Caenorhabditis elegans: one gene and its partners. The protein of the gene in region 4 interacts with the protein of the main gene of each other region in a pairwise test. Each region holds a gene or a part of one and is shown on either strand. Other genes may lie near its edges. The genes, in order: phf-34, F47B10.8, C02B8.3 and F11D5.1.

Region 1 (7,652 bases), 6.6 Mb from region 4:
ATAATGAATGCGTTAATCAGAGTTCATATTTTCTTAGTAAAATACAAGGGACTTCGTAAAAAGCCCTTTATAATAATATCATTTTGAAATAATAATCAAATTTTTACAATAAAACGTTTTCATTACTTATAACTAAATTTTATGTCATTGTTCAAGCAATGCAAAGACGGTATGCTTAAATCAGCACCATTTTTTACAATCGGGTTAGAAATTGGCTGTAAATACAGGGTGGACCATAATTACGGCGACCACTTTACGGCACTGTAGCTTTTTTTGGATCATCAAAACAAGTGAATATATAAATGTTGGCTAGAAAAAATCGAACACAATGACATATTAAACTTTACACTTATCACCAGCTCCAGTCACACAGCCCTCAAGACACTCAAATTCCATTCGACGGTGGCGCTCGAGTAGGATCGATTTAGCCTAATGGAGATTTTTAAATGACATTTGTATAGTGATTAATTATTATGATTATATAATCAGAATACCCTTTTTACACCAATGCTTTTCTGAGAACATTTTTCGGAATTGGTGACCGTTGACGAAAGTGACATCTGGTGAAAGTTGATAAAGTCAAAAAATAAAGCTCCCCCAAATGTTGTGATTTTTCTTCCTTATCAGGCAACTATCCTTCATGCTTAAAGCGTTAATGTAATCAATTTAAATTTGTCTTAACTTAAAATGTCAATTTGGTTTTTAATATTTTGATATATTCCACCGAATTCACAATAAGTCAATTAAAAACTAAAATTTATGTGACCCATTTGTTGAATTCATGTTCAGCGCAAATCATCGTGTTTTTCGGATTTCAAAATAGTTCAATAGCGGTGTTCGGGTAGTTTTTAGAAACTACAAATGTTTCTTGTTTTTTAACAGCCTGTTGGAAAACAATCATCTTAATAGTTGGGAACAAAACTGATCAAAAGACTATTCTCGAAAAATTTAGATGAATTTCTTAGAGCGTCCTCCCACTGGTTTTTCGGGGAGCTACGCAAAAATTGACTAATCAATTGTATAATTGAAACTGTTTATAAAAGTTCACAACAATCGTTTGTGAAAAATGACTGTTTCGGGCAAATTTTTCGCAACTGACAAATTGCACTTTTTTGAAAGGGGCAAAGAGCTACCTAAATCCAAACATAAGTTGGCACAATGAATGTTCTTCGACTCGGGATAGGCTATTTTGAGTGCCCATAGTCTTGGTAATTATTCGAAATATAGAAACTAGTTACTTGATCACATGAGCGCAGCAGGAGACGTTCGGCTCTAGACCTTCTCTAAAATGGAGGAAAATTATAGATTCCCGATGTTGTAAGGCTCTCACTACCTTCAAAGTTGATGGAAGTTTTATGGAAACTGACTTAAATGACAGAAAATATTGTGAACTTTCAATAATATGCAAATTTGAAAATTTTGGTAACAGGGCAACCCCAGAAATCAAGTTCTTGCGCGCGTGCAGCAGGTCACCTTAATTATGGACCACCTCTGTAATAACAAGCAATCTCAAAACATTATTATTCATGCAAATAACATCAGGAATGGCGGTGCGGTCAGGTTGTCAGAAATTCACAAATTTGGAATTTTTTTTTGTGAATTAATAGATCAGTTATTAATAGAAAAAATTTTGTGTTTCTTAATCCGGAAAAATGCAAAAAAAAAAACGAAACTCGAACTTTTACAAAAGTCTAGCTGTTTTAACTACACACCGCATTACTCCAGAATTGTATCTGTTCTGTTAGTTTTGTACGAAGTACAAGTGATCGAATTGAGTTTAATGAGAAAGATATAGTGTGGGCCAAAATTACGATTCTCGATTAAGTTTCAATGATTTATTGCCTCTAATATTTTTAATTGTTCAAAATGATAAATAGCACGGTTCGAAAAAGTAAAAATTTGAAAATTTTATCGACTACGTCGATAGGAGCATTTTTACTTTTTTCAGTAAAATTTTCTCCTACTTCCTCAATTTTATGCAGTTTTTTAAAAAATATTTTTACTATGTGACCAAGTACCAAAAGTGGGGTACCGAAATCTGGGGATTATTTTTAAATGACTCCAAATTTGCCCCTGATTCCGAATATCGATGTCAAAAAATTTAAAAAAAACCCCCTGATTTTATATTTGAGCTTGAAATCGCGATTTTCATTTGTGCCCTGGTCTGCTTTTTTGAATACGCGCCGAAATAAAATATCCTTAGAGCGCGTTTGCCTCATTTAATTTTCTCCATATATTTTTACTTTTTTAACCGTTTTTCAGCTTTTTTCATTATCGTATTTTATCGTTTTTTTTTGAAAAATAATATAAAATATGGAGAAAACTAGCTTAAAAACAGAAAAAAGAAAACTTATTTGGAGAAAGTAAAATGAGGCGAACGCGTTCCAAAGATAATTTTAACAGACCCGGGCACAAATGAAAATCGCGATTTCAAACAAGCTCAAATATGAAATAAGGGCTTTTTTTATATTTTTTTCACACCGATATTCGGAATCAGAGGTACCCCACCCTTAAGAAAACGCACAAGTGATAAATCTACAACTATACACTGTGCTCACAAAATGGGAAAAAGTGGAAAAAGTTTTTCAATCACTTTTAGTGGCCAGTGAAGCAAAAAGGTATTTTTAAACAAAAAATAATTTTTGATAACATACCAACTACCATTTTCATTAATGCTTTCTGTGTCACTTTTTTACCTAAACTTCAGTTGTTTCAATCTGAGTTAATATAAAAAATTGTAGTCTTGCACTTCTTGCATGCCAGACTAACCAAAAAACACTGTTCAATTTTTTAAATCCCAAAGCATACGTTTCCTTTTTACTAAAAAAAAAATCCATTTTACTTCTGTAATTATTTTCGATTTTATTGAAATTTAAAATTTGGTTTGACTTGTCTTCTTGATTTATAATAAATAAAATTTCACCTAATGGCGTTTTCCTAAGGCAGGTGCTTAAGAAAACCGAACCAAGATTTTCTGTTTTCTTGTAACCAAAATGCAACTAATCAGGCTTTCATTTGAAACCAGAAAAACTGGATTCTGTTAATGTTATTTGTTTCCCTCCACAAAATTGTGTCAGCATCCGATAGTAGCCATAAAGGAGCACGCTTTGATGCGTTGTCCAATTTTCAGTTGTATACACTTATATACTCTTGAACGAATAATATCCACCAACTTCTTCTTTCTCTCGCGCTACACCAAGCGAAATGTCTCAGTCTCTCACACACTTCATGGTCAATCGTGACACACTCTCGCATACACACACAGCGATGGCGATTTCTTCATTTCTCAAAACCTCTCGCCTCTAGTCTCTCCCTGCTTTCCGAGGACTGCCGCGTTGTTGTGTGTATGGATGTGTGTATATTCTTTTCTCTTCTTCTCGTTTGGTTTTCTATTGCAAAGACATCTCGATTCAGACAGACACAATTCACTCATTTTATTCATGTTGAATTTGTTCATTTTTATTTTTCCTGTTCGTCAAACGGAATGTGCTTCTCACATGATGTATACTCTTAAAACTTGTTTTTAAATAGTTTATAGTGATTTCGATTGCTATCGATTTTACACAGTTCGAACAGGCAAAAGCCATCCTATTCTGATACATTTTGCCAAATTGTTTTATTTTTATTTTTGCTGCTTTCACGCTTGCTATTTTCACAGAATCTAGTTTTTGTTCGTTTGCTGTTTGAAGTTAGTTCAATTTTCATATTTGCAGGTAAAAATGGATCCAAATATTCCTGGTCCCAGCAATGAGCGTGGATATGACAGCATTATGGATGAGTTGTGCACTGGCCCGGTTACTGTTTTGGAACAGGTAATTGCTTATTTTTTAATCCCACAAAATTAAACAAAATATATAATTTGGAAGTTTTGGATACTAGTTCAAACAACCACTTCAATATTGTGCAAGACAAGAAAATAAATCCAAAAACTTGAATTATCAATATTTAATTTCAAATTTTATATTATCGAAAAAATACTATCGCACAATTTTCTCATAATTTATTTTTGTTCTACCTTGTTGACTAGGCTCCTCCCCTTCCTTCGACAAGACAACCACAACAAAATAACAACGGCAACAAGATTGGGGGCGGAGTCACTTTTAACAGGTAGATCAAAAATAAATCACGAGAAATTTGTGCGATCGTATTTTTTCGATAATATAGCATTAATCAGAAAAAATTGTGGAGAGATATATTTCCATCTTTTCAACAATTGAAAATTCAATTCAGGCTTTGGAGCAACTGGAGCGTTATCCAGAACGTGGACATCTCTACCTCGGCCCCATTTTATTCGGGCCAGAGCCGTACAAACTCCGAGCTTGTAAAACATGCATTCGTCTCGCTCGACACGGTTTATCCGCTAGTCGATTCACGGCTGAAGAAATAGAAAACATGACAGAATTGTGCCCTACCCATTTAGATGAGCAACTTTCCGAGGAACGAGCAAAAGCAAAGGCAGCTTTAGAAGCTAAATTAGTAAGTATTTATATATATTAGTTTTAATAATTTTGACTTTTGTTTTTAGGCTAAACAACTGAAACAAATGCAGGCAAAGCATCGCAAAGAGATAAAGGAAGCGGAAATGGCTAAAACTATTAGAAGTACAAAAAAGACAAAAGTCGGAAAAAATGGGAAAATCGCGAAAGTCGACAAGAAAACAGCAAAGACTGTGAAGGAAAAACAAGTTCTTGATTTGCCGCAGCCGAAAATCGTGAGTTTTGAATTAGTAATTTTGGGCTACCAAGAATGAAATCGTATGAATGATTTTCTTGATGTAGAATTATTTCGGAGTATTGAGTTCAGTTGTTTTCTATTTTACAGGGGAGCAGAAATAAACGTGTAAGAAAATCATTTATTTAAAAAAATACCAAATGTATAGACTCTTGTTAAGAAAAACAAAATGGCGTAAATGGATGAGAAGTTATTCTGAATGAAACTATACATTTTTAATCATTTTGTGAGGAGTCGTCCAAATTTGAAGAAAATATCCAGTGTGGTATTACTAATCAAGTTATCATTATTTTTAGGAAATCAACGATGAGGATATTGATCAGTACATCCTTGAGCAGGCAGCCCCAAAGAAAAAGAATGTGGTAAGTGATCATAAAATTGCAACTTTCTAGTTTTTCATTGAGTGTGCTCCGCTTTGAAAATTTTGGAATCTGATAAATGTGTTGCCATATTCACATCTTGTTTTCAAAAAAAAATTTAAAAAATGTATGAAAAGAAAAATAAAACCATAACTAATTACATTGTAAGATAATAATTTCAGACTCGGTGGATCTGTCCAACTTGCGACAAGTCCTCGAAATTCGGAAGTTGTGGATGTGTCGGATGTGGCGACTGGTATCACATCACATGTGTTGGATTCAAAAAAGCCAAGGAAGTCCCGGACAAATGGGCTTGCAAATACTGCAAATAATCAGATACAGTTTAAAATTAAATAAGAAGCTTTTTAGAATTTTTTTAGATGTTTGAAATCCTAGTAGTGTTTAAAGTATTAACATATACTTTATAGTTTTCTTCTTGCACTTCAATCAGTTCCTTCGTTACACTCTACGTTTGTCTGTATTTTAGTATAATTTCTCATAGTTACTGCATGTTGTCCAACACAAAATCGATCTTATTGCAACCCGAGTAATATAAGATGTCATAATTCCCTTCTCAGTCTGAGATTTCATTTTATGTATATTCAGAACCGAACATATTCATTGCCGTCCAATACATATTCCGGTCCTTACAGTGTGCAATAATGTGATTTTTACCTATTTATTTTATTAGTCGGTTTGATAATTTACCTGTATATGCGAGAACAATCTTTATTTATTGATAAAATATTTAATTGCATTTATTTGTAAACTTAATTCATGAACCCATTTATATGAGATTTTGTTGAGATTTTGTTGAGATTTTGGAATGAAACAATTGAAACAAAACATATTTTGCGGAGATTATTACTCCAACAACGTTATGGTAGTCGCATTTCATAAAGTTCTTGATATTGTCACTATTATATAATATATTGTAAGTTTTTGGCATGAGGTCTGCCGAGCAAGGAACACGAAATGGCAGGTGTCCTCAACCTTTTTCTCATCTATGTACAAATGTTACTTGAACAATTTATTAACAAAATTATACTAAATCTATATCATTTAAAAATGTTTTTTCTAAATATCTCCGAGCACACTCCAAAGACGACGTGTTTACCCAGAAGACTCTCAAATTACCCATATTTGTTACAGAATGTAGTGTGTATTTTTTATCTCTGTAAAACAAATTTTAAAGGAGTTTGTATTCTTTTGTGAAACATACCTGATGAACTGTAAAATGTGCTGTCGAAAAATTTCCTTGCGTGGATCGTTCATTTCTTTTGGTAAATGATACTGAATTTTTATTGATTACGAGAGCTTATGTATGTCATATTCAGAGTCTACCTCAATATTGATTTGACATACTGATATTCCTGCTTGTTCTAGTGTACCGTTCCTAGCAAGATGAGACATCATGTCGTATTCTCCACCGTCGCCTTCAAAAATTAAGTAATCAATTATATCCTTTCGAATGAGATTTTTGAAGAAAATGTCAATCCCAATGTGGTTGACAAACTTCGAAGACATTCGTTCTGAAACAGTTTAGATTATTAACAGTGTATATTATATGCAAACACACACACATATATGCAAACATGAACGTTTTAAAAGAAATTTGAATACATATAAATATTATCAATACTAATGTAAAATTATTTGAATCGTCCACGTCTGAGAAATTTTATTTACATAGGAACCTTTGATTTTCAAGTTCAAAATGCATTTCTTGTATAAAATTTTTGTTAGTATAAACAGTTCTCCTGATTTACGCTTTAAAAGAAATACATTCATAAACCACCAAAACAATTACTTACCGACTGAGAATTTAAGTGTTGCTTGTTTTAGTCCAGTCTCATTTCCAACCGCAAACGGGAAGAACGTCCCGATTGATGAATAAATTTGCGAATTTTCCATGAAAGCCGGATCTGCCCCAAAAAACTCAGAATCCTGAAAGAAAAATGGCTGAAGCTACTATTGATGTTTATTTTGAGGTACCGCTGACAATTTTTTCTTGAAATACTGTTCAATAGAAACATTTGCACCAATTCCAACCCTTACAAATGTGGCTGATGTGTCTGTTGGATTTGGAGTGAAAAATTTCAAAGCTGTTCCAGAAACTATTTCAGGTTCCATATGCCACAAATCAGTTGATGAACGACATTTGTCTGTGTAGGATCCTAACTTGTGCCACAACTGCAACTTTTGGGAAATAAAGTGAAACTCTGGTTAAAACAGTGGTTGAAATGGAGCAACACGTATTTCTATATAAGTTATGGTTTTTGGATTTGAAAACGTCATATCTGAGAGACATTGTTATTCTGTTCAAATTAATTCAAGATAAAATAAATTAATTATCACGATTCCCAGTATTTGTTAATGCTATCAATCATGATTTTACATTATTCATCATAGGTACACATAAAATAATTATAAACCAACTCACACTATCAAAAAGTTCTCCAGTGTTACTTTCCTCCTCCTTATTCTTTTTTTCTGCTTCACTAACTAACCATTGCAAATAGCTATATTGAGGATCTTCGGGGTCCATGTCATCTAGCGATA
Region 2 (11,080 bases), 7.6 Mb from region 4:
GGAAACTCGACGACTTCCAAAACAAATAGGTAAAAACTGAGTTGTCACCCCTTTTTGAGTTGGAAAAAATGTCGTTTTTTAAAAATGTTTTTGAAAAGTTATAGTTGAATATTTTAAAATCAGAAATCATTTTCAATTTTTTCCTTAACGGGCGGTTTTCCAACTTCAATGAGTCCATGGAAAAAATTTAGTAAAACTGTTTTCACCTGACCTATACCAAAACTGGAAGGTGGAAGTTGTTTTTTCTTGATGATTTTCAAAAAAAAAAATAAATTTGAGAATAAATTCAAAAACCGAAACGGCTGTTGGCCCACAAAACTAGGGAAACCAAAAATAAGAAAAAAGGTTCACATACAAACAAAAAAATTATACCAATGTGCTTAGAAGACAGCTTTTTCTTACTTTTAGGTGAAGAAAATTATTACTCTGGTCTTTACTTCTAGTTAAATTTTAAAACTTTGATAAACTTAAAAGGAACAACAAAAAATTTGGTTTTTGTAAAAATGTGGGAAACTCTATAACTAAAACCCAATGAAGCCGTGAAAAAAATTGTATTCAACTTAAGATCCCATATTAAACATTTCAGTTTGCGCACAGGTTCATACACCGAAAAAACATCCGAAAAAGTAACTCTTGATGATGTATACACAGATGAACTTGTGGTGTTCCTATCATACGTGTGCCCGGAAGGATTTGAATTTGACCGCACTATCAATCGTAATTTTTTTTTCGTTTTTAAAAATGAAGCACAGTCGATATTTTCAGAACAAAACATCACGCCTCTTGTTTACTTCTCGGATCGTCTCATCTTCCCATGGGTTAAGCAAGAAATCAAGAAATATTTCAAAAGCGGTAACTCACTTTCTCAAACAAATGTGACGAAATTATTAAAAATTTCAGATGACTTCAAAAATGAGTTGTACGATGCGGAGTCGTTGATTCAGCTTTGCTACCTTCTTCACACGCAGTGCTACGCGTTAGTCAAACGTTTCCCAGTAAAAGGCAAAAACCAGTACTCTTACAGTAGCGGTGATATTGATCCAATTTTCAAGAAGATTGCACGGCTCGAAAACATCTCGTTGGTTGATAAAGCAGTAGCCGCTATTTCAGATGCCAACATGCGCAGTTATTTTGCCGAGAGAATCATTCATTTCAGACCAGTAAGTATTGGACTTGGTTTTTATGTTATATTTGAAAAAATCTTAATCCATGTTCAAAAAATTAAACTTAACTCTAAACAAGTTACAAAAATATGATAACTAGGCAAGGTAAAAACTAATATAAACTAAACACTCTATATTTCAGTACTCCTATCAACCAAGAGCCCAATCGTTTTTCGATTGGAATGATACTCGAGCTCGTTTATTTTTTTGAACAACCTATAATTGAACAAGTTATTAAATTCGTCTGCTGATTAATGTATGACAAAAACCTGTATTTTCTGAAAATTGATTTTTCATACTTTTTGAATACTTCAAACTGTATATCTCATCTCATGTGGCTCAACCATGTTTTCTGTACATTTTTGCGTGTTCTGTATTTGTATTGTTTACACCTCTTTACCTTTGCAACTTAAAGACACTTAAAAATATCCCAACTGTACCAATATTTCATAATGGTTATACAATAAATAATTGAAGGATTTAAACTGAATTGGTTTTTTTCTCACACAAAACTACCGTATAACCGTAAAATTGTATAGCAAAATTTGGGGAAATAGTTCTTTCATAAGTAATCTTATTAATATACAAATAAAAAGTCAAGTTTACAACAAAAAAAAGGTATTTTAGCCGCTGATAACAGACATATGTATAGGTTGTAGGATTCATAAAATCAAGGATGATTTCAAAAGTCAGTTTATTCTTTAGAACTAATAATAATATTTGGTTGAAATAATAACCGAGTTATAATTAACTTTGTATGTTTTTTTAGAAGTGTTAGCATCGCCTGGAATTAAATTGGAACAGTACGGTTGAGAAACTGTTTGAAAAGTCACAAAACTCACCATCTACTTAAAAATCTAAACCATGGAATTTTCTGATAAATTTCTGTTGGTGATTTTTTGGCATTGAATTTTTTAGAAATACGGCAAAATCAATTTTAAAACCTAGCTGCGGAGAATTTGAAAATTTTTATAACCCCGCATCCAGTTGGCTAATAAAAATTAACTCGTAAAATCTGAACGAAGGCATAGGTCTCGAATGCGTGGAACACAATATTTTCTCACTTTGAGCGCCAAAATTTGACTTTATATCATACTTAAATATGTATTACTTTTGCTGTCATCATTTAAATATGCACCACATTGTCAAAACGTTTCTCTAATCCGCTAATCATTAAAAAAAGGTTTGGTTGAGAGTTTTAAAACGGCTATTCACTTCAATCAATTCATCCTAATAATTTTGTTTTCGTTCTTTTTCATAAAAGTTGTTTTTCTTCGATCAGCTGAGCTGTTCTCATAGTCAAATTACTGTATCGTTTTTAATAATTCCAGACCGTTAAGCTTTGAGTCATGCTAAATATTTGATTTTCCTGAAATTACAACGCTTTATTTGTGGTGTGCATTGTTAATTCTTTTTTTAACGACAACTGTTAATGTTCAATGATAATATGTGCAAATCTCTTGAATCTCTCATGCTCTGTGAAAAAAGTATCCAATATTTTCCTCTCAAAACGCGACTAGGTAAGTGCACGTATAAACGATGCAAGATTTGACCGACCTATCCATTACCATAAATTTCATAAATCATTTACTTCTCACCTCTCGCGACCACCACCGGTGGCATGAAGACGAGACGTAGGGGCAAAAAGAGCAAACAAAAAAGAGTTTTGTTTTTATTTTGTACCTGGTATCAAGCACCAACGAGGTGCTCATCGTTTAGTGAAAAGCGCCGATAGTGACAGCAGTTGTGTTGGTGTAAGACAATTAGTTTGAGCTGCCTGTGGTAGAGGCATTTATTCGCACTCCTCCTTGATATCCGTGTGTCTGTGCCAAAGAGACCACACCCACCCGAAGAGATCTGTTCAGTTCAAATGGCGCGCAATGCGAGGACACCGCCATGTCCGACACCAACTCCAGCACCAACGATTGCACAGTGTCATTCGATTCCATCGATCCGAATTGAAAGATCTAAAGATGAAAATGGGATATCAAAAGAAATTGTGTCCGCACCAAAGCCAACGCCACCTCCCAGAACTGTTACATACGGCAATACATTAATGCCTACGGCAAATCGTCTTCCAAGACAGCCGAGACAAACATCATTGCGATCACGTAAGTCATTTTATTCGGTACTTCAGTAATTATTTTATTTGTCAACTTATTTGAAACGTGAATAGAATTGTCATTATCAGGCTTGGAAAATATCGTTTCTTGAGCCTAATAATTAAAACGAATGTCACTTTTAAAGGCTGAACGTTAAACTTTACAAATATGGGGTTATAATACACAAGCACCTTTTATTTTTTGTATGTTCATTAGCTTTACGTAGTTCCTTGACCGTTATGGATATTTATGTAATAATTTAGTGTAAACTCTCCAATTTTGTAACTTTCTTTATGACGATCAACTCCAATTTTTTTACTACTCTGCCCAGTTCTAAAAATAACAAAATTTATTTATACTAGTTGGTAGAAAATTTGAACTTTGATACATTTTGAAAAACATTTGGTTTCACTTTTCTAATTTGCTACAAAAAAATTCTGGTTCTTCCAAGATTTATTTTTCGAACTTCCTTCTTAAATCCAAAAAGATTGCTTCAAAAGCAGCTGACCTCATTGCATTTGTCTGATACATTTCATCAATTTCTCGCCCATACAACAATTTTTGTGAACCTAGAACTCATCACTATTATCCACACAACACACACACACATGCATGTCCAACCAATAATCATTTCATGTGATAGCAACATCTATCTCTCATTTGCCCTCCTTTCCCATTTGTACTCTCTAATCGGACCAGTGACGGATGTTAAAGTATGAATCTCGGTTTAAAACAAACATAGGATTTCACGTCCGACAAGACAAGCCGACGTAAAGGGTCCTTGTCGAACGATGATCGATCATTTCGCTGCTGTGTCATCTGCGGGGTCGATTAGCGGTTAACAAGTGGATATTCATTGAATTAGAGTCCAGGGTCTGGCAGAACTTAAGGACCAAAGTAGCAGGAAACATAATTACTCAATGGGTGTGAAATCAAGTGACAAATACAATTAGACAACAAAGTGACTGTTACTTCAAAGTTAGATTTAAATTTTTCAAACATTTGGTGCTGAAATGGGAAGTTTTTATTTATTTATTTTTTCCTCGTATATTCAGAAACATTGCTTTTACTTTGCAACAAGTTAGATAGTTACTGCATTTTCTCTATTTGTAGTGCAGCCTCTAATAGCCTTGCATCACTACAAGCCAATCATAATTTAGTTTATCAATCAAGACTAAGACAGAATATATCACATGAGATTCAAAAATACTTGAACTGAAAAATATTTTATTAATTTATGCGAACGTTTTGGCTGGTAATGGCGTGAATCTATGATTGGTTATAAATCAATTTCAAGGAACATGTTTATATTAAAATTAAAATGATAATTTAACAACTTTTGCTTGATATTGAAATTTCACAAGTTATTCTAGATGCCGATTCCCTCTTAATCGTCGGCTTGTAAATCCTGAAAAAAAAGCATACACTTCAAAAATTGTAGAGTAAAAAATTTTCAAACTGAAAACGAGAAACATTTCCAAAACAATATCAGACAATAAATAAAACTTTCATGAAATAGAAAATAAAAATGTTTCTCTAGTTGAAATAATCTAGATAAACTAACTTTGAAATCTGAACTGAAACTTTCATTTTTTACCAAAAAATAAGATTATTTCTTTCCGTACTTTAAACTAGCATACGCCCCATCAATTCTTTTTCTGATACATTCCACAAGTAAATAGGAACAAAGTGTTTCAAAGGAATCTCATGTTAAAAGTAAAGTGTCAATCGAGTTTCACAAATTTAAAAGGCAACTTATATTCCTAAATTTCTCGAACGTATTCTATCTCAACTCTTACTTTCTTTGCACGCACACCCTTTTCCAAATCTCATTGACACCATGAAAGAAATCTTCGGATCAACTGTTGTTTTCGGCACACACACGAAGTGTTGAAGCCGCAAGGTTTCTCCAAAGAAATTGCGTCGTGTGTGTGTGTTCGAGAAAAAAGAAGAACTGACAATTTTATTTTGATTCTGTTCTATTCCATAATAGGCGTCTTCGTTTTTTTCAAAAATAAAAATAAAGAAGAAAACGTGAAAAAAGTAAATATAAGAATCGAATAAATTGGAAAAGAAGAATGCGCAATGACAATGGCATGAAGCGTTCTTCGAGTATGCCCAAGTTGTTGATGAAGAAGAAATATAATATTCATTCGATTCCCGGCATCATCGTTCTAAAAGGTAATACAAATGAGATAGAAATAAATAGAAGGATGACTACTAGGTAGCTTACTCTTCTGACTACAATTTCTAGAGTGATGTATTTTTAAATCACTCGGATGTGTTCCTCGAAGTGTATCTTTCAAGAATCCGATAGCATCACTGTTAAGTTATTTCCTGTTGAACAACCATATAGCTTTGTGAGCTTTTTTTGTAATTTATCTCTATCAACGTAGACTTTTCCACATTACGTGAACATTTTAAATATTAAAATGTTTTTTAACCTGCTTATCAAAGATGGAAACTTTGTAACTTATCAGATTACCATCAATCCACATTAATCTGTCTCGGTGGTAAAACTGAACACATTTTAGCGGATTTGTCTCCACCACAAAACAAGTCGTTTTTATCACAAGTGTTTTCTATTTCTTTTTGCTTCTTTTCATTTGTTGTTCTACTCCCACCACCAGGTAACCTGATACTTTCCGGTTGGGAGGTCCTTCTTCTTTTCTTTTTATTTGAAGAAATTGGCGGAAAGTCTTAAATTATAGCAGTAGCATGCCCTATGCTTTCACTCTACTCTAAATTGTTGTGGCTGATGATATCAATATCACTATCAGAAGTCAACAATCTCAATCTCTTTCTCACTTTCCGCAATCATAATCACTCATTTTCAAGCTCTAATGTGTAAACTCTTATCAACAAAAAGGCTTCCGAATGATAAATGGATTCTTCTCCTGTTTTTATTTGCCTCTCACCTACCTTTTCTTCCTCAATATCCATCCTCATTCTTTCGTCATTACACATCTCCTCCCCAACTGATCTACCACCAGGCAAGACGTATTGGACCACATAAATATCGGTTAATAGGCGCCACCTATCATTGATAAGGGCGTGAAAAGTGCGCCGAAGGTAGATGAGCTTTTCAAAGCACGATTGGAGCAATTGGTGGTGCATTAAATGCGGGGAGAAACGCAAAGCCTCCAATATTTTTTCCAAAAATTTAAAATATGTATGCTTTGAAAATACTATGGCAAATGGACATGGTAAAATCAATTGTGAAAATATTTAATAAAAAAATTTTTCAAGCACTTACGGCTTCGATTTTTATTTCATCATCATTCCCAACAAAATCATCATTTCATCAACAGTTCTCAAATTATATTTAATTTTTCAAAACCGAATTGTGTTTAAATGATCACCTGTGGTGTGTTCAACCGAGTAAAAAAGAAGACGAAGCGCTTGAATGGCAGTGATTTATGTTTTTTTCTAAATCCAAGACGTGCCCAAAACAACACACATGCATATCCATATACTGCTCACCTCAAAAATCAAAATTTGGATAAAAAGTCTGTCTGCGTAAAATTGAAAATCTGCTGATACTAGAATATTCAAGGTTGCCGATAACTCAAAAACGATCGTTTTTATCACGCTATTCTAGAATAAATAATTCTGTGCACGGAGTTGTTGAAGCTTCTACAAAATTTTCTTCATTTTTTGATTTATTTTCTGCCATCCTGTGTCTGATGAATTTTGAGCCGTATTCAGTTGTTTTGGAATCAGATAACCCTGACTGTCCAATTATCAAGATTCCGCATTGTAAGTCGATTTTCTTTACTACACTTCTATTTTAAAAACATAAAAAAATGCTCAGTTCTTTTTTACATTTATCCTCTCAAAGTTAGTAAAAAGTGGTCAAGATTCAATTTCAACATTGTTTAGGACGCACACTTCTGTTATTGAATCTTTTCTTTCCAAGATGTTGTGCATTCACTTTTGGCACATTCTGAGCATTCATGAGCAAGGACCGAAATATTATCTACTATCGTGATCTCTACTATTACACTGTTATGTTTGCAGATGCAAACGGAAATGAAAACGGAAACGGAAACGGAATAATGAAAACGCCGCAACGGGAAACTGTCGTGAGCCTGGGTTTCACGGAAGATCCCATTCCTCCCAACAGTTATTGCTGCAATTCTTGTCATATTCAAGTAAGCTCGCATATAAAGTGTTCCCTTTTACTGGTTTCAGCAGATAGTCAGTTTTCAGATAAAGTAGAATAAGCGACTGCAAAAAAATGTGTGAATTTTTTTAAAAATTGTTGACTATAAATGTGATTTGAATAGTTTTTCTACGATGCAGATAATAAAAGAAAGTTGAAATATAATGTTTAAAAAACAACAACAACATTTCAGAAAGCGTGCCGAGCAGTTGCAGTATTTGCCTTTTTAGGATTTATCATAAACCTTGTTCTATATTTTATGGGCATCTCAAAACTCGGTCTAAACGGTAAGCACGTCACAATTTCTTGTTTATACCAACTATTTGCATACTTGTTTTGCTAAATTTATTCAAAATCCAATTTGTAATTCATTCATATAATTCTTTTCTCTATTTTTCTTTTTTGCAGGATATCTCGAAGCGTTCCTTCTTATATTCGACTGCATTTCTCTGCTGACTCTGTTTTGTGGTGTCTCAAAGCAACGTTCGGGATTGCTGAAGCCGTACTTGTTTTACAATGTATGTTTATTTTTTGCTTCGTTCTTTTTCATGAAACGTATAATTATGTTGCAGGTAATATGGAACTTTGGCATGATAATTTTGTTCCTGGTTTTTGTGTACCACATGTTGAAGGGAACTAGTGATGTATCGAGGTTTTGGGAACTAACAGACTCGGAACAAACTAAAAACAACTATATTTACAGGAACATCCTCGACAATCTTAAAGCTTTGCGATCAAATCCAGATGAGTATCACTTCCGATCAAGAGAAAGTGTTACCAGTGAGAACGATTATACTACTTGTGAATATTTATACTTCAAAATTTTTCAGCTGCAATCCTGGTCACACTGGGTGTGATGGCTGCCATGTCGTTTGTTATAGTCATAAATTGCATATTTTTGCATGTTGTCTACCGCACTTTTCAGTTTTTTGCATACCAGGAAGACAAGAAGAGAGAGGAAATGGATAAAAAGGAACGCTTATAACCTTTGCAATGTTTTATCTGAAATGTTTAACCTCGTGCTTTCTATTGAACTATCTCTTACACACAAACATTATGTTGATCTCTTATGTATTCCGAATTCATTTAATTTCCTTCTCGGGTGCTCGTCTGATTTTCATTTTTATTTTATATTGTGGATTTAAAATTTATTCACAGTTTCAACTCTACTGCAATAAAAATTATGTATACATACAATGTTCAAATTTCACTATTACAAATGCAATTCATAGTTTTCATTTTCATGCAAGATTCTTCCAATGTACAGTAAAACTATAGAGTTATTCAATTTACAAAATTAATTCATATTTATTTAGTATCAAGAAGCAATACAAATAATTATATTGTTCGAAATTTGAAAAAAAAATGTTTATGATAATTAAGATTTACTTTCCAATGAGAGCGAGGTTGGTTTTGATGACTGGGTCAATTTGTTCAAGCCAAGCGGCAACATCAAGTTCCTGAAAACAAAGTAATTCTGAACGTAACTACTAGTTTCTGCTACAAAAACTTCAAACGTTTGCCGACAAGACCCATTCACATACCTCGGCGATTTTGTCAAACATGTCGTTTAGAGCCTTGATATAACGCTCTTTAGCTTCATCTTGAGACACTCCTTCGAGCTCTTTCCATGAGTCCCTGGAAATCGGATTAACTGGGGTTGGTCAGGAAAATGCCAGTAAATACTGTGAGCCAGTTGGAATTAATTGTTATTTTTACATGGCTTCAACATCAATAGTCGCAACGTACCATTTTCAGACAAGTAGTTAAACTATTTTGAGTTATTGGAACTGACCCATCTAACTTTTTCAATTACTATTGTACATTTTATTAGAAATGTGTACTATTAAAAGTGCACTAAAAATCGGTGTTTGAAAAATTATACCAGCAGTCTGTTTAGAATTGCGATCTTAGCACTCCACACTTTTACAACTTTTTTTTTAGCGCCAGCCAATGAAATAAATAGAAAACATTACAAGATATACTACCTTTTTATGGATGTTTCAAAATCACGACTGTTATAATTAGATACGATCACTCGTTCTTTTGAAACTTTCTGATTTTAAATAATACTTGTATTTAAATTGCCTTTTTTGTATTATTGCCTTTTAGAATAAAACCTTCACTATCGCCAGCATTGAAATAATGTTCCACCAACACATATGTTTGATGGGTTCGTTCTTTTTATTCATGAACGAGTACTTGTGTAATATCAGTACACCAAAAAATCTTTTTAATTTTTTTCAAAAATACAATATGAGTTCTTTTTGAATTTTAGACTTAGGAAAAATCTAAACCTAAAAATGAATTGAGCATTAAAATGGTTATTTACGTTGTGGTCATTTTGGAATTTTATCCATTGCATACATTGTGGGATACAGTAACTACACAAGTACCCATGAACGGAATTATTTTTTGAATCCATGTTTCTACAAACGTGAAAACATTAATACAGGCTTCGTGTTATTTTTAAGGGGTATTTCAAACATAGTTTATGGTTTTGAAGAGACCAATGATCAGAAACGACACTCTACATTTCTTCAAAACTTTTTATTGATAATTTCACAATCATCCGTTCCTACTCGTTTTTTGTGGCACCATATTCGAAGAAAATGATAATTGCATCGTTTGCAGACACAACGCCGACATTTGTTGCATAGCGATAAGTTAATATATATTGCGGTCAAAAAATCAACACACATAACTCACGCAATTCTGATGCAGTTTAGCTAGCCACGCGGTCATGACTCATTTGTCAATGAAATAAGAAAAAAAGAATTCCCCTTTTTCGAATCAGACAAAGGAATAATGAAAAAAAAAACTGACCACTTCTTTCTCTCGATGATGGAGAAAATTCCTGGTCTATCGGTGTTCACATCTCCGATAGAAGCCTGTTTGAACAAAGAGTAAAAGGTAAGCTTCTGATCATTGCTGGTGGCAACTGGTCCTAGAAAAATTGTAAATTTAGCTTTGAATCAACTACATCATAGCATAGTTTGTAGCATTGTAGCGAATCAAAGTCCAACGTACCTGTTTTTGGAAGTTTCTGGATGATTTCCACAGCAGCGTCGAACTTTTCTTGAAGAGACATTTTCTGAAATAAGAAAGCGTTGAAATTTTTAGGTTAATGAATAGATTAAAAAGATTAAAAAGTTCGAAGCGGTTTTCAAATTGCAAATTGATTGACTTTTTCAAAGGCCTTGAAATAAACTACACCTATTTACTTAGTTATCAAACACGGTTTAAATCAAACAAGACATCAAAACGAGACTAGAATCCAAAAAGTACAAAACAGGGAGAACTGAACGTGAAGAAATCTGTGAGTAGTGCCGTTGGGCGCCGTCAGCCCGATCGGATTTACAAGGACAAACGGGCTGCTGCTGTTGACCTAAATCTTTTCCCTGGATATAAAGATGACCCATTCAGTATCGTGTCTTCCCGTGAACAAGACGTCATCTTTTTATCATTGGCGCTGGTCTTCGGGAAGGACAGTACAATTAATTGTCCGGAAAACTGCGGGTGAGAGATTACACTCATTTAAAGGATACCATTGGAGAATGGAATAGGATAATATCATTTTGAGAAAAAAATAGAATAAATTGAACTCAGGTATTTGACAATAGTAAAAACGTGTATTCTTATTGTTAGAA
Region 3 (6,385 bases), 4.8 Mb from region 4:
CAGACAAAAGTGTGCGTGAAAACTTTCGATATTAAATTTTGATGTTTTTTAAAATATTTAAAACTAGCAGAATAACTCGTATACTCTGTTGACATATATTTGTTTGACACATTCAAACAATATCCGTCCATTCCGTCCATTCGTGTCCATTTATTTTAGAGATATGCGATCGGAACAACTGTTCAAAATTTTTGCCGTTCTCTAATATGCAATACAACAGATGGGTCTGTAAAAAAAATGATTGGCACAACAGAAATACAGCCGTGATTAACACTGAAAAGAATTGTTGTTGGTGTATGCTTAGTTTTCTAAAGAATGAAAAATGAAAGCACGCAAAGTTCCGAAAAATATCTAGGCAACAATTGGTGCATGAAAAGTGTCAACTGAATATGTCTGCAAGCTCACTGCTGCACGTTTAGAACAATGTCGTATATACAAAGACATAACTTTAAAATACAAACATTCGAAATTAAAACAAAATACAATTTGCAAAAAAAAATTCCCTTGGCGCTACTTCTCCGTGAAAAACGCATAATTACAAACTGATTAGCCACTCTTCAAACTTAACAGATAGTTTTTTTCCATCTCATCTAGTTTCATTATCCCTGAAAATGTGTATGGAAACGTTTGTTTTCCCTGACAAATGAACATTTAAAATTTTCAACGAAATCATTGCATTTGAACGATCAATATTTTACAAAATAATGAAGCTGAGCTGAATGATTTGAATATGTTGTTGAGCATTTGATTACTTGCATATTTTTTCGATCCTTCAAATTTCACACATATATAAAATTTAAATAAATAAATTCCTCGCCCTATATCTCTTAGCATACTTAAAAAGCTCCCCCAGTGAGCAACTTTCTGACGCTTTTGCAACCGCACCAGATAATTTTGTAATTTCTCTAATTTGTCTATTCAAGTTCATGATCAACGGTTATCAACGTTATCCTGTGTCCCCGTTCCAAAACATCGGTATTAACATTTGCGTGGAACTACTCACATGCTCACTGAGCTTGAATAAAACTTTCTAAGCCTCCAAAAGTGCACCTATATGTTTTAGATGAATAAAATTAAGCCATGGTAGATAACGTTAGTTTTTCTTGCAGCATTGGGCTTTGACGCGTTTGTCATCGCTTCAGATTAAAAGTTTTTTTCCATTGTTATTGAATCAAGCAGGACTGAAAGATATTCAACTCAAAAACAATTGAAGCATTCAAAGGAAATGATGATCACAGGAATTCTGCAAATTTTGATAGTTCCCGTCATTTTAAGCGGGATAAATACTGAAAATTGTGATGTTCTCAATTCAAGGATTATTTGAAAAACACAATTAAATTATTGGAATTACTTCCGCAAAACTACAAGATTAAATTTCAATAAAGATGTTTTAGAAGATTTTTTTTTCAGGATTTCTTGGAAGCAAAGTGAAGAACAAATTTAGTTCATTTCAAGTTCGTTCTGTATAATTTTAATTTTTATGTTTTCAAAGTTTTTTATTATTGGAATTGATAAGTCTAATTTAAATTTTTATGTATTAATGTAAACTTGGACTTTCATCGACATTATGCTCTGCCTCAATGCTTTTCTTATTCTGGTTTTCCCATTAAGAACATAGCCTATCCACGTCACAGTAATGACCTTATTGATTACTAAAACAAGTTAAGCGAAAATTTTTTGTTGGCGTCTGTAAAACAAATCTGTTCGTAGTTGTTATAATTATAAGAAACAACTTTTTTTATAGTTTGGAAAACAACTCCCCATGCAAATTCTTTATTATGTACCCCTGAAAATTTAGCAATAAAAACTGCGGTAACAGTTCACATTTTTATTCTGATTGTTTGTAGCCTTACTGCAACAATTCTTGTGAAAATTATAAATAAATTAAAGGAAAAAGGGCATTCTTTGAACGACAGTACAGGAGAATTGAGAGAGTGAAGATGTTTGGAACATTCTGGAAGCACGAGTGAGGGCACGGTTTCGAACAACAAGGAGTAGGAGGATTGGAGCACAAATTAGAAGTTAACAGCTGGGATTGGGCCCTTGTTGAAGTCAAGAAAATCCGTCAACGTTTTCGGCAGGTTGCAACCGTCTCTTTGACACAAACATCTCAGGCTGACTTGGGATGGGTGGTTGGCTTTGTGGAACTGGAAGGCCTGAAATAAATGTCTCATTAAAATCTGTTTCAGTGTTTCTTTCTGTATTGATAGCTTACCTCTTGTAGACAGACATTTAAAACAGCGTATCCTGGAAGTTGGTTGGCAAACATTGTCAAAATAGTGGTGTAGTCGTCGCTGTCCATTTGAACTCCATTCACGTGGAACTTGTTGTAATCTTTTGGGGATGGCATGTAGCTACATAGTTGGTACACGGGGTCACTCATTGTATGACCTTTGGAAAGGTCGTCGGAGTCAATGGGCTCCCAGCAACGGATGAGCTTGGTGAGTTGATCTTGGGCATCTTGGACAGCGTTCATGGCGGTTGAACGGGAACCGAAGGCAGATGCCAAGACGAGAGAAGATATAAGGATTTTTCTCAACATCGAAGAAGCACGAAAGAGTTAAGCTGTAAAAGAATTCAGCTTTTGGCGAATACTGTTCTCAGCGCTGTTTGAATATGAAAGCTGAAAGGGCGGAGCAAGAATTCCATAAGGCGGGGCTTACAGAGTCTTTGGAAAAGAGACGTATAAGATATAAGAGAAACAAAAGTGCAGATTGAGTGACGAGGAGGATTGCAGGGATGAGCATCATATGAAATGAAACATCCCGCCCACTTTCGAAGTGTACATGGCACAAAACCGGTTACAGTGTGTACCTGGCTCTGACGTTGCCACTCCGTGACTGACACGCAACAGAATCTGGAAAAAATTTGAGAAAATTATCACTTGTTATGTCAGTATCCAAAAAAAATGTTACATATCTAATATATAATCAAGCGTTCATGTGTACACAGTCGAAGCCAATTTCTAATGCATTAGTTTTTGGCTGAACAGAAGTCGAGACAGCTTTGGATGAGCTCAGATGTTTTTGGGCTAATACGTCACTATATTAAGTTTAAGAAACTATTTGATACAAAATTTATAGAGTTAGTTTGATAGTTAAAGGAAAGAATCCAATTTCGGGGGAACATTTGAATTGTACTAACATCTAGAAACTCATTATTTTCAAAACGAATTTTCCAAAGTGGTGTAGTATAGGATGAATGATATGTGTTATGTTGGTTAAACGAGAAACATTCTGAATCTTTTTAAAAACTATGATTAATTTTCTCCCAGAAAACAGTGTCCTTTTTTGCAGTACCCATTTTTGCCATTTTAAGTGATACGAGTTGTGTACGAGACCTTACGATGAACTACACAATAAGCATGAAGTGTTGTGGTGCATTATATTGAGACAAACTCAATCTTACATTCATTTCAAAAATTATTGATGCACATATTTTGTTAATTAACGCGTTTCATAAAATATGTACACACTCATATATTTTATCAATTTCGCACAATGTTAATAGTTTCAAACAAACTTCCCATTTGTGATAATTTAGCTTCAATGAAAAAATCTTAATGTGCCCCTTTTTTATCTAACGAAAATCTGAGAAATGTTAACCGAAATTCAAAAAATCAAATCTTCTTTTCATTAGATTTTTTAAACTTTACCTAATTAATCCCTAAAAACCTTTTGCAATTGAAAGACTGAGAATAGAAATAACATGCGTTGATAAGCTTAGTTATTAATGTTTCTGAAGCTTTTCTAAGTAACCTCATAAGTGGCTTTTTTTCGTTTTGAGAGAAAATTAAATACTGCAATTTAGTAGCCTATTTTTACGTGATTTAAAAAATATGAAGAAACGTCAAAGCATATTACTGTTTTATCTGAATTTCTAAATTAATAAGCATGGTGCTCACAAAACAAAATTAATCATTTCGAAAGTCATGAAATAACGAATCTGCATTTGACCAGCGTGTGTTTTGAAAAGCAGGCATAGGAAGCCTTGATAATGTTCCATTCAATAAATTTATTAGGGCTGAACTTGTGCAAGAATCTGCAGATAAATGCCGATTATTGACTCCGACAACCTTTCCAAGGGCTATACAGCGAGTGACCCCTTCTTAGATTTTGAGAAAAATCCTAATATCTTCTCTCGTCTTGGCATCTGCCTTCGGTTCCCGTCCAACCGCCATGAACGCTGTCCAAGATGCCCAAGATCAACTCACCAAGCTCATACGTTGCTGGGAGCCCATTGACTCCGACGACCTTTCCAAGGGCTATACAATGAGTGACCTCGTGTACCAAGTTAGTAGCTACGTGCCATCCCCAGAAAGCTATAGTACCGTGTAAACGAAGTTCAGATAGCCAGCGCCGACAACATCAACATATTTTAAAAGTGTTTCTATGAGACACTCATTTCAAGCCTTCCAGTTCCACAAAGCTAATCATCCATCTCAAGTGAGCATGCATGTTTGTGCAAAAGAGACGGTTGCAATTTACCAAAGACGTTGACGGATTTCCTGGATTTTAATATGACCTCAATTCCATCTGTTGGTTTCTAACACGTGTTTTCGGTTCTCCGATCCCCCTAGTCCGTGTCGTCCAATTCCCTTTCTTTTGATGTACTTCCAGAATGTTCCGAACATCTTCAGTCTCTCAATTTTTCTTTATTGTCGTTCAATTAATACTATGTTTCCTTCAATATTTTTACAATTTTAACAAAATTTGTTTCAATAAGGCTATAAAAAAATCTGAATAAAAATGTGAACCGTTACCGCAGTTTTTATTCTGAAATTTTCAGATTCAAAGAAGCTGCTTGGAGATAGAAGAGTTTCAGTTCAATTTAAAAGGTTAAATAGATTCTTACGGCGCTGAACTCGGTAATTCTACAATATCGTCATTCCAAAGTGCACAAAATCAGATTTGATTAGCTCGAACAGATTCGCTTCATAGAAGCCTACGAAAACTATTGTTTGACTTGGTCGTCAAGCAACGAGAGCATCACGGTGACGTTGCATTGCTTTTTTCTTATTTAAAAACACCAAAATAATCGAAGCATTAGTGCGGAACAAGATATCAAGAAAAGTACAAGTTATTTTCGATACATCAACATTTTGAAATTAGACTTCTGGAAATTTTCAGATTTAATCGTTAGCATAAAACTGCGCAGAAGTCTTCAAAGTTCTTTATAAAATGAGGGTGACGTCACAACTTTCTAGAAAGTGAATTTGTATCGATTCCTGACTATCAAGTGTGAAAAATTTGTCTGACACCCTACCACTCTGTACATACGTTCGATGTCTTTAGACTCCACATTCCTATTTGCTTTCCATCACTCAGCAATGATTCCTGTGTCTCCTCTTCTCTCTCGCTCAACAGAGTGAATATGCATTTGTCTCTTCGGGGTCACTCTTGTTGCATATCGATAGTACGTGCACAATGTATTTGACGACACATTGCAGACATTAGCACATTTGCATGTTTTCAATATCATTTTATCAACAATTTCTAAGCAAATTTTAGAAGAAATGAATTGTGATTTAACACAATATGTTTATCAGTTTAAAAAAAAAAATATTCGTACAGTACACATTGAAAAAATACAATTGCATGCAATTGCTACTGATAAAACTTTGATAATGATTGTCTAAGCCTTTTATTGCGAAACTTTTTTTTTTGCTAAGTGTTACTTTTAAACCCTTTTCTCACTTTTTATAAATGCAGTGAAATATAATCGATTTCAGGTGTATAATGACCGACATTTGCACAATCTGCCATAACACGCCGAACAGGCCAGTGCGGCTTGATTGCAATCACGAGTTTTGCTACATTTGCATCAAAGGCTCTATTCAAAATGATATGCTCAACTGTGCCGTCTGCCGAAGACCATTTGATAGCTCCATAATTCTAAATTTGAGCGCTCAAGTTTGCTTGAAAGGCGATGCACCAAGAGATGGTAAGATTTTGTTTGGATATGATATGAAAAGATTCATCTGTAAAATAATTCAGATAATCAGAAACACTTTCTCATTAAGAAATGGAAAGTACAAGAGTGTAAAATAGGAAAAAAAAACATTCAATTTTTTTCTGAATACTAATTTCCTAGACATCCAGAAGCTAAACCAAAAAACTAACAAAAGTTATATGTACCTTTTATTAGTCTTTCTTCTAGAATAAAACAAGGTTTCAGTTGACGACGACGAAGAAGAGGTTCAGGACGAGGAAATCGACGTGAAGCCTGATGTCAACTTGTTAAGAGGTGCCTTTTTTTAGTCAAGCGCATTACTAAAATAACAATTTCCAGCGGCAATGAACGCAAACCAAAACGGAAACAGAGAACTCGTGGCTGCAGCACCTCATATGAACAACAATGGAAACTGTAATATTTTTTTAAACTT
Region 4 (8,128 bases):
TTTTTCCGTCTCCAATCCTATTTTCAAAAAGCTCTTGGTGTTTCATTAGAGGTTGTTTGTGCATTTGTGCCCACCGCAATGCAAAATGCAATTTAAGATGCACGCGTTCGGGTTTCCCAAGAAAGCTTTCAACTCGAAATTTCCCAGCATATTACTTCTCCATCCTCAGCAGCTTCATGTTCTCTTATTTCCACCCTCTAGCCAACAATCTTCAACTCTTCGTTTCTCCATTTACCATCAGTTTTCGATCACATCATCACCATCATCTTCCTCGCGCAAAATCCTCATCCCATGCGTAATGTACTGTAATTTTATGTGTCTGATGCTTTTCGCTGACATAAGTGTATGTGTTTTTTCGTGTGTTAACATGAGAACAAAGTTTTTGTACGGTTCATTGTGTGTTGTCAGTCATTTGAGTATAAATGTTTTGCCATATGAAAAATTATTTGAAGTTTGTCTGTTACCAAAATTAATATCTAGTAAAACAATTTTCGAAAAAATGTTCAAATTTGTGTTGTGTTAATTCTAAAAGCGGTGAAGACTCAGAGATAATTTCGGAAGCCCACAATTTTTGTTCGGGTTTTAAAGAATTATAGCAATTTACACCTGCAGAAATTTTCAAAATTGCCAAAAAAGTATACATTCTTGAAATATTTAGCCAAATTTTTTTGGAATTTTACTATGATATTCGGTCATATTAGACAACTATATTTTGGAGCATATGAGCACTCCAGTGGAAACAATTGCCTAAAAACCTGTCAATGGCACCACGGTGACTAAAAATAATACTGCGAAATTCGAAAAATCTTTAAAATTAATATTGATTGTTTGAAAACTAATTGTAAGCAAAATTCAATTTTAGTCACTAGATGTCTTCATTCAAAAAAAACGTTTTCCTTCGAATTTTATGATCTGCTTAAGTTTCATATATTAATATTTCATTTGTGAATGAATTCGAACATACGACAGTGCTATGATTTTCTCAAAAAGTGGCAAAAACTCAGTAATTGCCACTTTCACCTTACACCTTTGGCACCTTGGGAGTGGTTTTCAACAATTTTCCAACTGGCGCTACTCTACCTTTAATCTGTCAAAATCTTAAATGAGCTTAAATAGTTTCAGAATAAAACATGTTTTTCAAAGTTTTCACTGATTTGTTTTTTCCTCTTCCTCCTCACATATTTCACATATTTCAATGTTTGTTCCAATCGTATCTACTATTCCTTTTGAACACACTTTACGGACAACTATCTTTGTTGAATCATGTTTCCAACAAAAGTTTTCAATGCTACTTTTGCACAAAGAAACTGAAAAATAAACTAAAACGGACAGACAACATTTTTGTTTTAGTTTTTTGTAGTAACGAGTAGTCTTCATTTTCCCAAGTTTTCCGCATAGATTAGCTTCGTTTTCGATAATGAAGTAGAGGTGTTTAAAGATGGGGCGTGAAGAATGTGATAATGCGTATTAGCATGTAAAGCATTCTGTCCGCCCTTTAACACTTTTCCACCCATTTTTTGTTCATTTTTAAACAAGAGTTCTGCTCGGACACGTACCGAAGCAGTTCGATTTTTTTCCCGAGAGATGAAGAATTCTTACAAATGTTGGCAGAAGCACAAATAGAGACATACATTATGGCAAAAATTGAGTCAGTGTGAGGAGACAAGTGAGAGGAAATAGAGGTAGAGAGAGAAAGTGGTGAAATGTGAAAGCAAGCACACATACGTGTGCGCAGTATCGGTCCACAGTGCAAGCGGCTAGTCCTTTTTCCGGTTGCCGAAATGCGATCTTCCCTGATCTTTTTCACCGAGCGGGCGTCATGCCATGTTAACCCGAATTACTGACGAGATGAAAGTGTAGTGTGGCGTGTGAGTTTACATGTGCTCATTGAGCTTTGCTTCTTCATTGGTAACCGTTCACACAAACAGTACCGCAACTTTGTTTTACGACTCTGTTTGAATTTGAGATTTGAATTCCTATATTGATGTAGGTCAGGTGACAATACGAAAGTTTCTATTTTTCTATGTCAAGTTTAGAGTTTTGAATTTTTTGTTTGTTCGATGCTTCCGAGTGAATTTCCTTTTGAGAATCAGTGAAAAAGTCGTATATTTTTTTACTGTGATAAAACAATTTCGACAAAATTTTGGAAAATATTTTATTTTGTTTCAAAAAGTTGCAATAACTGAGTATTACCACTTTTTGCGAAATCCGTAGCACTGTCGAATGTTCGAATCCCTACAATCTTTGAATACTAGTATTTGAAACGTACATAAGTTGACAACAAAATTCAATGCAACATTTTTTTGATCGACTCCTTCCAAAAAATTAACTATAAAAAAATAAATATAAAAACTGGCCTACTCCACTTTTAAGTTTTCAATAGACAAATATACATAATTTTATTGGAAAACTGCGAAAAATCATTGAAAAATTAAAGGCGCACTACCCCTTGTGCAATGAATAAGCATGTGTCGTGTCAAAACCGTGTACTTACTTTTAGCGTAATAAATCACAAAATTGATAGTCTAGGTAATATGAACCGTGCAAGTTGAGCAATGATGGTGCAAGACTAATCGAAAAACTATATAATTTATTTTCTATGATTTTACTTCACAATTTTTATCCACCTTTCCATCTCATCCACCACGTTCCCCTTTTTTTCGAACAATGGGTAATGAATCTTAACAGTTTTTTCTTTTTCTTCGAAATCTGTGAATGTGTGTCATTTAATGTTTCCTTCCGTTGTAATCAGAAGAAAAAAGTCTACAGTTGTGGAATATGCATATGAAAAGGGGAATAATTAACAGTGTGGACAGTGTGGTGTAATTGCATACCGAGTCACTTGCGGACCACCGTGTCTGACCTTTCTATTCACCATTTTTTCGCTGCCGTCCTCCTGCCCAACAATCGTGTCGTGTTGTGTAGATTTCGTAAGATTTTATATTTTTTTTACTAAGGATTTTTTTGAATATGGGTTAACAGATTCTCTTGTATTCTATTTCAACTATTCAATTCATTTCGTAAGATCATTGCAAGTGGAATAATTGAATAATTGCGCGGCGCTATGAGATAATGTTCGTAGATCATTGCGGTTCGACTAGTGGAAACAATGTGGGTTCTTCAGCTATCACATCAGTCCTTCTGTTCATTCTAATAGTTTTGAAAAATCCACACTTGTTTTTTCCTATACTCTCAAATATAACACTTCGAGATCAAAATACAACAAAGTCACACATGTGAGTAACAAATTTTAATTTCTTTTTGTCCTCAATTGTGTCTTCCTCATTTTCAACGTCTTCTTCAACGCACCTAATTCTGCCACAATTCGAAAATTGTCTTTTCTTTTTTCCTTTTTTGGTTGGTTTGTGTTTCAAAACTGTCGATGTCTACTTCCGTTTATTTTGACTGCCAATTACCAACTTTCGATAATACGTTTATTTCCAGAAAACCACTAAACTGGAAACCACTGCCATCGCTCAGTTTCCTTCACAGGATACGAAGTCTGCGCAACGGCAAAAGTTTCCCACGTAAGTGTTTTATTATGAAGTTGTTTGAAACCAAAATATGGTTGAAAATTATATTCATAATAAATAAAAATTCATTTGGGTTTTTCAAACTTGAAGTGCAGTTTGATTTAAAAAATATTGTTGTTTGAAAAAACTAAGTGAGCGACAACAAAAAAGTATTGGCAACTGGAATATTTGGCTTTCAGTGTCGAGTTTGAAAATTTTGAAAAACAAAATGCTTAAAAAATTTTCAGATTATATCTAACAACTGCCAAATTACAAACATTTTGGCAATTTGACAATTTAACAATATCCAAATTTGGAAAAATTTGGAAATTGCCGAGATTTAAAATTTCTGATATTTCGGAATTTTCGGAAATTTTCGACCTTTAAAAAATCATTTTTTAAATTGTTTCAGCACACCTACAAAATTATCACATTTTGGAATTTTCGTCCAACTTTTAAGGACAAAAATGATTGTGAAGCAATAGAAAATTATCTTGTTGATTTGAAAATAACTTATTGTTAGGTAAATTTTAGAATAATCTCAACGCCTGAAAAAAACCTCAGTGAAATAAAAAATGAAACTTTTCCGCTAGCTAAAAACTATTGTTTTGGAATTTGGAACCAGTTAAATATTTTTTAATATGTCGAACTTCTGGACTATTAAACCGAAATTAACAAAATGTTGCAATTGCTCTGAAAACTTACAGTCAAAAGTATTTTAAACCTAATTTGTTTTACAGATAAACGAACGATTGATCAAACTTTTGTTCCTTGAAAGAAGTATTTCATAAAAACAAAATAAAAAACAAGAAATGGATTGCAATGGAAACATTGCGGAAAACCCTTTCCTCAAGGTAATTTTTTTTTTAACCAACAATAACTTCTCTTTCAAAACTGCCACCCACTTTTGTCATTTTCAGCAGGACAATGCAGCAAAGCGTTTGATAAGAAGGCGTCCGATTATAATCAGAGATACCGACACCAAGAAATGTAAGCACTGATATATTCAAACAATACTTTTATTTTTCTGATTCATAAAAAAAAGCGCTCCATAATAGTAAAAAATCGGTTCAAATTGTTTGATAGTTGTTCTTTTGTCTAAACCTCTACCGTCGTTCACACAGTGATAACTTTACTATCTTATCACCAACACACGCACCAAATAACCTCCCATTGAATGTGCATTTTGTTTGGTGAGCGTGCCGTGTCGTTTGCTGCATTTGAACTTTTATGACTTTTAATTTTTGTTAATTCATTATTAGGAATTTTTGAAAATAGATGTTTATTTAAAAAAAAAAAACGTATCAATTTGCAGCTGACACCGGCTTCAAGATGAAAAGTTCGGAAGTTGGAGGGAACTTGGAGTCGCCGAATAGTGGTGAGTCATTTTACAACACGTTTCTCTCAAAAAAAAAGTTCATTTGAAATTGACGTGGCACCATGACTTTCGTCGAGAAGTAATGAGAGTGAATGACAATTGTTCTAAAATAAAATGACGACTTGAGTTAGTCATCATCATGTCAGCGAAACTGAATTTGTTTGCCCAGTTGTCTAAACAAAAAGAAAAACATATAGGTTAAACTCTTGCAAAACATGAAAGTAGAAAAATTGAAACAGTTCAAAATGCGTTGCTGAAATCACATTAAAATCTTTTTTTGATTTATTTTAAGTTTCAAAATTTCTAAAGCTGCATTGATTTCATTGACTCCGAAATGAAAAATTAATTCACATTCCAAAAGACATTGTAGTAGAGTCGTCTTGGAATTTTGCAAAAATTATTGGAAATGGAGCGTAATGACCGATGCAACTGAAAAAATTCATTAAATTTTTCTACATTTTCTTAATTTTGCAAAAAAAAAACATTAGATGATTATTTTTATGAAGTAGCGCGGAAATGAATGACCTAGTTTCGACATATTATGACGGTTTTTCGTTTTTCTTGAATATTTAATTTAAAACACAGTTTGTCAAGTTTTCAGGTAGTTTTCCGCAAAAAAACAATTCATATTAAATTATTGGTTTTTAAGCCAACTTCAAAGTTTTAGCGAAATTCCGAGTTATCAAGTTTTTTACAGGCAGGATGTCTGAATAACTTAGAAACTTATATTTTATGAAAAATTATCTAAGTAACTAAGTAAGTAAAGAACAGTTTTCTAATTTTAATTTTGAATAAAATTCCAATATGACTCTACTTTGCCATCAGTATTGAGATTTCTTGAACAAGTTCCAAAAAAATTTGATGATTGAAAATTAACTTCTTATGATTAAAGCAGTAAAATTTGGAATTAACTGAAGAATAGATATTTTGACAAAAAATACGTTGTACATATATACCTGTATTTTTCTTTGTATCTCCAATAGGATCATTGCCTAATTTCAATTCGAACGCACCCACGTGGAATGTGATTCCCTTCCGGTTTGATTTCACGTAATTAGCGTTCCTTCCTTACCGGCATGTGTCAAACTTCACGCGAAATCTCTGAGATCACAAATGTATTTGCTCAACTCGAGCTCTCTCTCCCGTTCTTTGCCTCAACTAGCACAGCTTTTCTTACGGCTTTTCCATAAAGTATATTGATCTTAATTAAGAAAATTTGTAAATATTCTTTTTTTTTCTTGCTTATCGATTATGATGTCAACTCAACATTTCGCACGTTTATTGCATTTTAGTTTTCGTATCATCAATGTTTGATAGTATAGTTTGAAAACCGAGAAATACCAAACAAGAAGGAAAATGAGAAAAAGAAAGTAAACAAAAAAAAACGAGTACACATTATGCTAATTTTTCGTCTTTCATGTAAAATCATCATGTAAAATCTGTGTCAAATTGGAATGCGACCACACCGTAGATATCAGAATCTCTCCACAAGCCGCACATCTAAGATCTCATTTTTTTTGTCTCTTTCCCCTACATTTATTCCTCGGAGATTGCAGATGACGGTTCAATAACCACATTGGGTCGCCTGGTTTTTTTTTCGCATTATTTTAGTAGTGGTGTAGCTAGTTACGCATGCATACTTTTTGCTGTATTTACCGGCGCTTGTATTTATTTCATCTAACACCAAAAGGCTAATGTTATGCAAAACAAATAACAGGTTCATCCTTTTTCCTTCCAGATTTTTTGCCGGGAGTGCTATACTCGGTTTTCCAATCTGCCAGTAGCCGTTGATTCATTTTTTGCCTTTTCTAATTTCTCCTAACAGTAGATTTTGTAAAAATATGTTTTGTTAGTTTTCCCTAGCGATTCCCTCAGGGTGCGCTCTGAGATATTTTTCATTGAAAATTTATTTTCAAAATGTGGAAATCTTTACGGAAAATAGTCTTTATTTTGTCTAAAAAATCAGTAGAAAATCTCTAGAATTTCCGGAAAATTTTCCTTTTTTGGCAGTTGACATTTTTCAGTTCACTTTGAGAGTGCTGTCAAAAATGACCTATCATAATTTTGGAAGTCGATCGAAAACCATTTTTTTCTTCCAAATTATAAATTTCATTCATGTTTTCATTATTTAAAAAAAAACATTTTAGAGGTTCAAATCTGCAGCAGTGTTTGTAAATTTTCAAAAATACTCGAATTTTGGAAAATTTTGGCAATATACCAAAAACATTTAACTGACGAATTTGAAAAATTTAAATAAAAAGTTTTGGAGTATTTCATATGGTCAGACTTATAAACATACTGAAACATCTAAAATAAAAATAATTTACGTACCAATAAAGTATATTTCCACATGTTGGCACTAGTTTTCATGAAACCTAAAAAGAAAATGCCGCAATCTTGCTGTAGAATTAAATATTTTGAAGCAGTTTTTTGATAATTAGGCGATCTGATAAAGCTTGCCATACAATAATGCCACAATTTATAAAAACAACTCTAAACCCCGAACTTAGTGATCTTTCCGTCTTCATCTCGTTTTTTCGTTGATTTTCCGTATCCATTCAAGAGCTTTTCTTTCACTTATTTTGTGCCCATCCGAAAAAGCACTCAAGAATATAGTGCCACTGATACGGTCATTTGTTAGCTCACGCTCATGCATTTCTCGCTCACTTGATTGCCCCTCCCTGCCCGTAAAACACAGGTTTGTAGAGGCTTCCTCGCTTTTTCTTCCGAATGACCAACACTCTTCAACATGCACATTGTTTTACGATTAGCAGATTTTGGTGCTCGTCTTTAAAAAGCAAAATAGTTTGCTTAGCGACTTATTTTTAATATATTCTTGTACTTCAAAACTCAGCTTTTGTGCCCGTTGTAGCTCTTTTTCGACTCGAGTAAATTTTCTCCAAACTATTTTCTATTCAGACACCAAACAAATGTTATAATGAATTTACGACGTCACTCTTTGTACATCCCAGATTTCTGGAAACCTAGTAACTTTGAGCCGTCGGAATACCACAACCTTGACCCTAGGGAGCAAATTCCAATCTCTCGAAGACTCGGCTCTGCATATGTTCGCAATTACATTCAGAAGCCAGATTCAAGTCTGAAAAGAAGGATAGCTAGAACTCAAAGTGAAAGAGTACCTTCGAATAAAAATGGTTACAGACCACAGAAAAGTGGTTTCACTATACCAAGAATACCGGAACCCATGGAAAATGAAGTAATCTATACAAATCTTCCG

The links.
Region 1: the proteins of F11D5.1 (region 4) and phf-34 interact in a two-hybrid assay, tested with the Caenorhabditis elegans proteins (one large-scale study listed by BioGRID).
Region 2: the proteins of F11D5.1 (region 4) and F47B10.8 interact in a two-hybrid assay, tested with the Caenorhabditis elegans proteins (one large-scale study listed by BioGRID).
Region 3: the proteins of F11D5.1 (region 4) and C02B8.3 interact in a two-hybrid assay, tested with the Caenorhabditis elegans proteins (one large-scale study listed by BioGRID).

What each region holds. Positions count from the first base shown.
Region 1 is NC_003284.9:9,895,538-9,903,189, reverse strand, and holds phf-34 (PHD-type domain-containing protein), read left to right. Parts: upstream 1-3,713; 5' UTR 3,714-3,719; coding exon 3,720-3,812; intron 3,813-4,230; coding exon 4,231-4,476; intron 4,477-4,525; coding exon 4,526-4,711; intron 4,712-5,027; coding exon 5,028-5,093; intron 5,094-5,272; coding exon 5,273-5,422; 3' UTR 5,423-5,846; downstream 5,847-7,652. Other genes in the region: F21G4.3 (Methyltransf_21 domain-containing protein), read right to left, coding at 6,133-6,265, 6,313-6,383, 6,435-6,622, 6,905-7,037, 7,086-7,283, 7,534-7,652.
Region 2 is NC_003284.9:10,902,722-10,913,801, reverse strand, and holds F47B10.8 (MARVEL domain-containing protein), read left to right. Parts: upstream 1-2,985; 5' UTR 2,986-3,033; coding exon 3,034-3,274; intron 3,275-5,155; exon of another isoform or gene 5,156-5,343; coding exon of another isoform or gene 5,344-5,446; exon of another isoform or gene 5,447-6,951; coding exon of another isoform or gene 6,952-7,024; exon of another isoform or gene 7,025-7,221; coding exon of another isoform or gene 7,222-7,285; coding exon 7,286-7,419; intron 7,420-7,623; coding exon 7,624-7,717; intron 7,718-7,838; coding exon 7,839-7,948; intron 7,949-8,002; coding exon 8,003-8,082; intron 8,083-8,133; coding exon 8,134-8,210; intron 8,211-8,260; coding exon 8,261-8,415; 3' UTR 8,416-8,622; downstream 8,623-11,080. Other genes in the region: F47B10.9 (BTB domain-containing protein), read left to right, coding at 587-717, 766-852, 901-976, 1,025-1,160, 1,306-1,374; acbp-3 (Acyl-CoA-binding protein homolog 3), read right to left, coding at 8,816-8,890, 8,975-9,068, 10,257-10,377, 10,461-10,521.
Region 3 is NC_003284.9:8,135,673-8,142,057, reverse strand, and holds C02B8.3 (DUF5354 domain-containing protein), read right to left. Parts: upstream 2,582-6,385; 5' UTR 2,477-2,581; coding exon 2,216-2,476; intron 2,157-2,215; coding exon 2,016-2,156; 3' UTR 1,815-2,015; downstream 1-1,814. Other genes in the region: C02B8.7 (uncharacterized protein), read left to right, coding at 4,179-4,337; putative RING finger protein C02B8.6, read left to right, coding at 5,739-5,943, 6,178-6,246, 6,292-6,366.
Region 4 is NC_003284.9:3,329,682-3,337,809, forward strand, and holds the start of F11D5.1 (PH domain-containing protein), read left to right. Parts: upstream 1-3,442; 5' UTR 3,443-3,527; intron 3,528-4,252; 5' UTR 4,253-4,324; coding exon 4,325-4,366; intron 4,367-4,432; coding exon 4,433-4,502; intron 4,503-4,827; coding exon 4,828-4,890; intron 4,891-7,378; exon of another isoform or gene 7,379-7,595; intron 7,596-8,128.